2 linked regions of the Macaca fascicularis genome follow. The protein of the gene in region 1 interacts with the protein of each later gene in a biochemical or structural test. Links are inferred from orthologs where the notes say so. Each region holds a gene or a part of one and is shown in the gene's direction. Other genes may lie near its edges. The genes, in order: MATK and SIRPA.

Region 1 (3,801 bases):
ACTTTCTGGAGGGAGAAGAGAACGCCTGCAGAACCAACCAGAGGACAGTGGAGGGGACAACACAGGAGTGCTTGGGAGAAGGGTCAGGGAGGCCAGAGCCCTGGAATATTCTGGAACCTTTATGGGTCTCCATGTTTGTTTGTTTGTTTGTTTGTTTTTTCTTTTTTTTTGCTCTGTGTGTGTTTCTGAGTGGTCAGAGGTAAAGAACTGTGTAGGGAAGAGCCCAGCAGGTATTTGGAGGGACAAGAGAGCCAAAGAGAAAAGGGCAGCTCTTCTCTCTTGAGACCTGAGACCTGAAGTGTTTCCTGGCACTGCTCCCTGAGCCTGACAGGGAGTTCCTGGAAGGCAAATGTGGAATCTGAGGGTCTCAGCCAGGCAGGCCCCCAGCTTTGACCATTCACACCACTATCCCTCCTATAAGCCCGTTTTTGCTCAGGTCAACCTGAGATAGTTCTGTTGCGACAACAGTAATTGGTACCAGGAGTGGGGTGTCTCTGATACGTCCTAGGGGCATTGCCAGGTCCAGCAGCCATTCAAATGTGTATCCACAGCTGCAGCACTGTGAGAGACTTCACCTAGTCTCTCACCAAGTAGAACCCCCAATGGGAGGGTTTGGGGGGCCCATTACCCCTCTGACTGGGTCTTCACTCCACAGCGGGCTGGTTACTGAACCTGCAGCATTTGACATTGGGAGCGCAGATCGGAGAGGGAGAATTTGGAGGTGAGTGGCGGACCGGGTTGGGGGTGCTGAAGGAAGGTGGGAGGTGCATATTGAGGCTTTGCAGTCACAGAGCTGAATTCAAACCCATACTTAACAACCTACTAGTTGTGCAACTGAAGACATGCAAATCCTCTGAGCCTCAGTTTCCCCCTCTGGAACACGGGGTAATGGCAGCTGTCATGAGGGGTCAATGAACTCAAGCAGTCAATGTTAGTGACTTCACACTGCCAGGGTCTTGTATGGTCAGTCCCTCTGTTTGGAATGTTTGGAACACCATTCCCTGAAATTATTATTCTGGAAGACTCTGGGGTTTAGATCAGGGGTCAGCAGACTCTCTGTAATAATATTTTTTGCTTCATGTGTCAGGGAGCTGCTGTCACAGCTGCTGAATCCTGCCCTTGTGGAGTGAAAGCAACCACAGACAATATGTAAACATATGGGCATGGCCATGAAAACTATGGGCCAGAAATTTGAATTTTGTATAATGCTCACATGTCCTGAAACAGTACTCATCTTTTGATTTGTTTTTACAACCATTTAAAAATGCAAAAACCAGACAGGCGCCGTGGCTCACGCCTGTAATCCCAGCACCTTGGGAGGCCGAGGCAGGTGGATCACAAGGTCAGGAAATCAAGACCATCCTGGCTAACATGGTGAAACCCCGTCTCTACTAAAAAAAAATACAAAAAAATTAGCTGGGCGTGGTGGTGGGTGCCTGTAGTCCCAGCTACTCGGGAGGCTGAGGCAGGAGAATGGCGTGAACCCAGGAGGCAGAGCTTGCAGTGAGCCGAGATAGCGCCACTGCACTCCAGCCTGGGCGACAGAGCGAGACTCCATCTCAAAAAAAAAACAAAAAACCCAAAAACCAGCCAGGCGTGGTGTCTCATGCCTGAAATCCCAGCACTTTGGGAGGTCGAGGCAGAAGGATCCCTTGAGCTCAGGAGTTCAAGTCCAGCCTGGGCAACATAGCAAGACCCCCATCTGTACAAAAAAAAAAAAATAACCAGGCACAGTGGAGCATGCCTGTAGTCCCAGCTATTCAGGAGGCTGGGATGGGAGGATCCCTTGAGCCCAGGAATTTGAACCTACACTGAGCTGTGATCATGCCACTGCACTTCACCTGGGTGAGAGAGTGAGACCCTGTATCAATATTTTAAAAATAAAAATGCAAAAAACATTTTGAGCTCAAAGGTCTTGCAAAAAGAATTGACAGGGTAGATTTGGCCCCTGGGGGGTGGAGGTTCACAGACCCCTGGCTTAGATGGTTCTCTCTTTGTTTTTGTTTTTGGTTTTTTTTGTTTTGTTTTGTTTTTTTCTGGTTTTTCTTGAGATGGAATTTCGCTCTGTTGCCCGGGCTGTAGTGCAATGGCGCGATCTTGGCTCACTGCAACCTCCGCCTCCAGGGTTCAAGCGATTCTCCTGCCTCGGCCTCCCGAGTAGCTGGGACTACAGGCATGTGCCACCACGTCCGGCTAGTTTTGTATTTTTAGTAGAGACGGGATTTCTCCATGTTAGTCAGCCTGGTCTTGAACTCCTGACCTCAGGTGATCTGCCTGCCTCAGCCTTCCAGAGTGCTGGGAATACAGGCGTGAGCCACCGCGTGAGGACCAGACGGTTCTCTTTGATCTTGGGTCTGGAGCTTGTGAGGGTGGGGGGGATGGGGAGCGTGGGGACCCGCAGCTGTGTGAGTGTTACATGGGCACCGGTGTGAGTGGGCCTGTCCGTTTGTCTCTCTGTCGCTGTTTGTTGGGGGTCCTGATCTCACCCCGTTCCCTGCCCCCACCCCCAAGCCGTCCTGCAGGGTGAGTACCTGGGGCAAAAGGTAGCCGTGAAGAATATCAAGTGCGACGTGACGGCCCAGGCCTTCCTGGATGAGACGGCCGTCATGACGTGAGTCCCGGGGTGGGGGCTGGGGACCCTGGGATGGGGGGGTCCCAGCCCCGCCCTCACGCCCACCCCACCGCCCCCAGGAAGATGCAACACAAGAACCTGGTGCGTCTCCTGGGCGTGATCCTGCACCAGGGGCTGTACATTGTCATGGAGCACGTGAGCAAGGTGGGGCGGGGCTCAGGCGGGGAGGGGGTCCCACACGGCAGAGCAGCCCTAACATCCCCCACGGCTGTCTCCCACCCCCAACAGGGCAACCTGGTGAACTTTCTGCGGACCCGGGGCCGAGCCCTCGTGAACACCGCTCAGCTCCTGCAGTTTTCCCTGTAAGTGGGGCTCTCAGGGTGCCGGGGCGTGGGGGTCGTCGGGGGGCAGATTCCAAGATCCATCAAGGGGAAACTGAGGCACGGGGCAGGGAGGCTTTCTGAGCTTGTGGCCCAGGCACCCAGAGCTTTCTGAGCCGTGAATGCAGGCGTCCCGGCACCTGAGCCCCCACTGCCCCCTGCTCCCCCCAGGCACGTGGCCGAGGGCATGGAGTACCTGGAGAGCAAGAAGCTGGTGCACCGCGACCTGGCCGCCCGCAACATCCTGGTCTCCGAGGACCTGGTGGCCAAGGTCAGCGACTTTGGCCTGGCCAAAGCAGAGCGGAAAGGGCTGGACTCGAGCCGGCTGCCCGTCAAGTGGACGGCGCCCGAGGCTCTCAAACACGGGGTGAGCCCTCCTTCACACACCCCTGGGGCTTTGGGGTCCCCCCAGCTCTGCTGTATGACCCTGGCTATGTCACTTGGCCTCTCAGAAACTCCAAGGGCAATGGCTCCGCCTCCCCAGGAAGCTCTTGGCCCGTAATTGTTCCTTTTAGCTTCCCTCTGGGCCTCAATTTCTCCATCTCTGAAAAAGGCATGGGCTCAGGACTGAGGTGAAGAATGACCAGACTTCCTTCATGCATGAAGGCTGAGCTAGACTCGATTGTGGGCGGCGTTGGGGGAGGAATCAATTAGGAGACCGGAGAGTGAGGGTCAACCCAGGAGGGCTTCCTGGAGGAAGCAGAGGCTGGAGCAGAAACCCTGAGGGGTCCCTCCTCACCCCTGTCTCGGGCCCCACAGAAGTTCACCAGCAAGTCGGATGTCTGGAGTTTTGGGGTGCTGCTCTGGGAGGTCTTCTCATATGGACGGGCTCCGTACCCTAAAATGGTG
Region 2 (3,901 bases), on another chromosome or scaffold:
CAGGAGGCTTGGGGCAGGAGGGGAGGTGGTGGTGCTACTTTGCATAGGTCTTTAACCTGGGAATCAGGAATTCAAATCTTGTTGCTACCCCAAGCTTTGCTGTGTGGCCTTAAGCAAACCTATTCCCTCTCTGGGCCTCAACGTTCTGTCCATTTACAGGGCTGGGCCCTCTCTCACCTTGTGTTATTCCTACCCTCTTAACTGCCACTGCGTGAAGCAAAATTCTCTCCCATTAGCAGCGGGTCTTGAACTCGTGTTCCTCCCACAATGCGGAGCCTACTTCTGCCAGGTGACCAGGACACTGACACTCCCCATCACTGACCTGGCTGCTACAGGAACGGCGTTCCCTCCAGGAAAACCGAGATTCTGTCCTCTCCAACTCCAAGCCTCTGGCTCCGGCTCCCACCCCTCATCTTCTTCCGGGCCTGTCCTTCTCCTGGAACCCATGCCTTCAGGGCCCCGCTCTCCCACACACGCCCCCTCCTGGGCCTCCCCACCCCCTCAATCTGCCCTCCACCACCGAGACACCTGGCCAGGGGGCTCCCACCTCCCTGGGAAGGCCCCGGCCCTTCCCCTCTGGTTCCCCGCCACAGCCCCCTTCTCGCTCCCTCTCCTCCCCGCTCCTCTTTTCCAGGCGGCACCGAAGTCCTTCCTACACACACGCTATTTTTGTACCATCACTCTCTTCTTCCTCTCCCCTTCCCCCTGCGTTCACTTACTTCCTTCTTTTCCTTCACCTCGGCCCGGCTCTGAAAGGATCGGGCCCCTCCGGCCCGCACCCATCCCCAAGAGGGGCCTTCAGCTTTGGGGCTCAGAGGCACGACCTCTTGGGGAGGGTTAAAGGCAGACACCCCCCGACCCCCGCGCCTCCACTCCCCGACTCCTTCGCCGCCTCCAGCCTCTCGCCAGTGGGAAGCGGGGAGTAGACGCGCGGCCAGAATCCGGAGGCGAGGGGAGGTCGGCCGCAACTTCCCCAGTCCACCTTAAGAGGACGATGTAGCCAGCTCGCGGCGCTGACCTTAGAAAAACAAGTTTGCGCAAAGTGGAGCGGGGACCCGGCCTCTGGGTAGCCCCGGCGGCGCTTCTAGTGCCTTCCAGCCCTAGCGGGCGGCGCAGGTCCGAGCCTGGCAGGGACGGGGAGGGGCAGAGCGGGACGGGTCGGGGCTGGGGACGAACCGCGCGGGCTTCTGAACTGGTACATCGTCGGAGCCGGAGGCTCGTCTAGTCCCGAGCCCGAGCGGGCTGCGGCGGCTCGCGGGGCCGCCTTCACGGGCAGCAGCCGGGGGCCCGCGCGGGGGTGCCGGGGCTCGGGCGCCGGCGCGGGGGGCGACGCTGCCCTCCCCGGCCGGGCGCGCTGCTCGCAGCCCTCGCTCCCTCCCCCGGGGCGCGCTGCTGGCTGGCGCGCAGGCGGGCGCTCGCTCGCCGAGAAGGTGCCGGCGGGGCCGGAGCCCCGAAGCCTCCCCGGGCGGCGGGAAGACGGGAGGAGGGGGGAAGGGAAGGAGGGAGGGGGCCGGGCTGCCGGGAGGGCGGGGGCAGCGGCCGGGACTGCGGGCCGGGAGCGAGCTCAGCCGCCCGCGCCGTGTGGAGCCCGGGCGGGGCAGGTGGGCAGCGGCGGGGGCGGCTCCGCGCGGCCGGGCTCGGCCGTGCTGCCCCTCGCCCCTGCTCGCGCGGTCCTCTCTCCCGCGCTGTCTGTCTCGGTCTGCGCGCCGCCTCGCTCACTCCTCGCTCGCTCGCTCTCCCCCTCTTTCTCCCCCTCTCGCCTCTCTGTGTCTCTGGCTCTCTGCCTGGCTCCCTTGGGTCTGTTTCTCTCTCCTGCCGCCTCTCTCTGGCCGCCCCTGGCTTTATTTCTCGCGCGCTTGGGGTCTCTCCCCGTCTCCGTCTCTCGATTTCTCCTGGGGGGCGGGGAGGGGGGTCTCCAAAAACCGCGGCGGCGACGGCGGCTCCTGAGCCGCTCCAGGCGCCCGTTCCGGAGTCGGGGGGAGGCCCAGCCGGGAGGGGGGAAGGGGGGGAGTCTTAGTCATTTCCCCGCTCCAGCCTGCTCCCGCCCGAGCGCGCACTCACGGCCGCTCTCCCTCCTCGCTCCGCAGCCGCGGCCCATGGAGCCCGCCGGCCCGGCCCCCGGCCGCCTCGGGCCGCTGCTCTGCCTGCTGCTCACCGCGTCCTGCGCCTGGTCAGGTAAGCACCCCCCGCTCCCCACCGCTGCCCTCCCCAAACTGCGGGCTCAGGCCTCTCAGACTAGCACTGGGACCCATTCGGCTAATGCTGAGCAGTAATAGGGAGAGAGACGCCTGTAACCAGCGTTATAGATGCGGAAACTGAGGCCCAGAGAGGGCCAGCGACATGTCCAAGGTCACACAGCCAAGGGTAGAATCCAAGTCTCTTCTCTGAGAGTTTGTCTCTGTGGACTCTGACTGTGTGCACTGTGCTGGGCACTGAGACAAAAGAGCTGAGTTGCTTCACTCAGCCCCTGCCCAGTCCAATGGGGAAGGCTGACTGACAGTGGCTTTCAGAGTAGGGCGGTCCTCCTTCCCCAGAATCTCTCCCCATGGACATACGGCTTTCCACGTTTGACTTCAGGGTGTGAGGGGAGGAGGTGAGGGCAGAGGTTCCCCCAATGCTGCCTGGAATGGAACAGAGACAAGCTGTTGCAATTAGGGAAGAGTGAGCCCTCCCTCTGGTGCGCCAAGTAAACCAGTGTTAGTGTGTGCCTGGGAGAGAGGGAACCGGGAGGCCACGGTAACCCCACAGCGAGCTGCTGCAAGCAACAGATCCTTATGTAAAAACACGGTGAATTGTCCCTGTGGTTGCCAAAGCCTCTCCCTGGTGGTCTTGCTCCTCGAGGCGCTCCCAGCTCCCACTTCCTCCTGCCTTCCCCGAGCTTCCAGGCAGCTCCCTGCAGTTCAGGTGCTCCGCGGGGATGTTACCTGTGGCTCTGGGCATGTCTTTCTGTTGGCCTACATCAAACACCTGGCTGTCGCCGGCAGGCGGGCTCTGAAGGCTACTGTGTATGTTCACCAAAGGGTGAGGTCACCATTCAGGAGTCCTTCTTCTTAAATGGGTTTTGCAAAACCATGGGTCTCCTGGGAGGGCACTGGCTTGGGGGCGGGGGGAGCAGAGAAATGGCGTTAAGGGAGTTGGGAGGGAGAGAATGGGGATCCTGTTTTTTGTTCTCTTGAAGCTATGTTGTAGGCAGAGGGGTCTCTCTGTACCTCCCACCCTTGAGGAGGGAAGTAAAGATGAGCTCAGTGTCCAACACCCCCTTTTGCATTTGCCTAGAGATGGTAACCATCTGATAGCAGGGAGAAAGGGAGAACTAGCAAAGAGTGGGTGGAAGAAGAAGTGGGGGGTGGACAGCTGCTTCTCCCTGCCCTGCAGTTTCCCCTGAAACCCAGGAATTCACATAGGTATCACCCCACCCCACTCCCCCCCAACCCCACCCCCAGTTGTTTTCAGTTATAGTTGGGTCCTTGCTGGGTGGAAGGGAGCACTGATACAGTTCACGTCTCTCCAGTGAGTGGCATCTCCTATCTGCTCCTTCCTGCCTGAGCCGGCCATTTGTACCCTGCAAAAGTCTGAGTTCCTGCCCTGCCATCCTTCCTGGCCTGGAAATGCACAAGTGTCAATCACAAGTGCTTAATTTTCCTGAAGAAGGGAATTGGGCCCCAGTTAATTTCTAAATGTCTATTCCAGACCCTTCTCCGACCAGGAGCCTGTGGTTCAGTCCCTGGCAAATGAGCAGTGACGCTGATTAGCAAGTGTTCAGATGGGCAGCCTGCCTTTCCTGGGGCACTGGCTGGGAACACCAACACCTTTCTTGTGAGCACATCTCCCCCTTTTGCCTATAAAAACAATCTATAAAATGGTAAAGATTGGGCCATAAAACTTCCGTTCCAATCCATTC

What was found.
Region 2: the proteins of MATK (region 1) and SIRPA form a complex in vitro, tested with the Homo sapiens proteins (3 studies listed by BioGRID, with this or other methods). The link is inferred for Macaca fascicularis from reciprocal best matches to the Homo sapiens genes MATK and SIRPA.

The regions. Positions count from the first base shown.
Region 1 is NC_088393.1:4,501,907-4,505,707, reverse strand, and holds part of MATK (megakaryocyte-associated tyrosine-protein kinase), read left to right. Parts: intron 1-655; coding exon 656-721; intron 722-2,511; coding exon 2,512-2,611; intron 2,612-2,691; coding exon 2,692-2,776; intron 2,777-2,860; coding exon 2,861-2,934; intron 2,935-3,123; coding exon 3,124-3,319; intron 3,320-3,711; coding exon 3,712-3,798; intron 3,799-3,801.
Region 2 is NC_088384.1:85,409,384-85,413,284, reverse strand, and holds the start of SIRPA (tyrosine-protein phosphatase non-receptor type substrate 1), read left to right. Parts: upstream 1-1,049; 5' UTR 1,050-1,176; coding exon of another isoform or gene 1,177-1,659; exon of another isoform or gene 1,660-1,797; intron 1,798-2,057; coding exon of another isoform or gene 2,058-2,096; coding exon 2,097-2,175; intron 2,176-3,901. Other genes in the region: uncharacterized protein, read right to left, coding at 1,177-1,659, 2,058-2,098. UniProt on the Homo sapiens protein: Immunoglobulin-like cell surface receptor for CD47. Acts as docking protein and induces translocation of PTPN6, PTPN11 and other binding partners from the cytosol to the plasma membrane.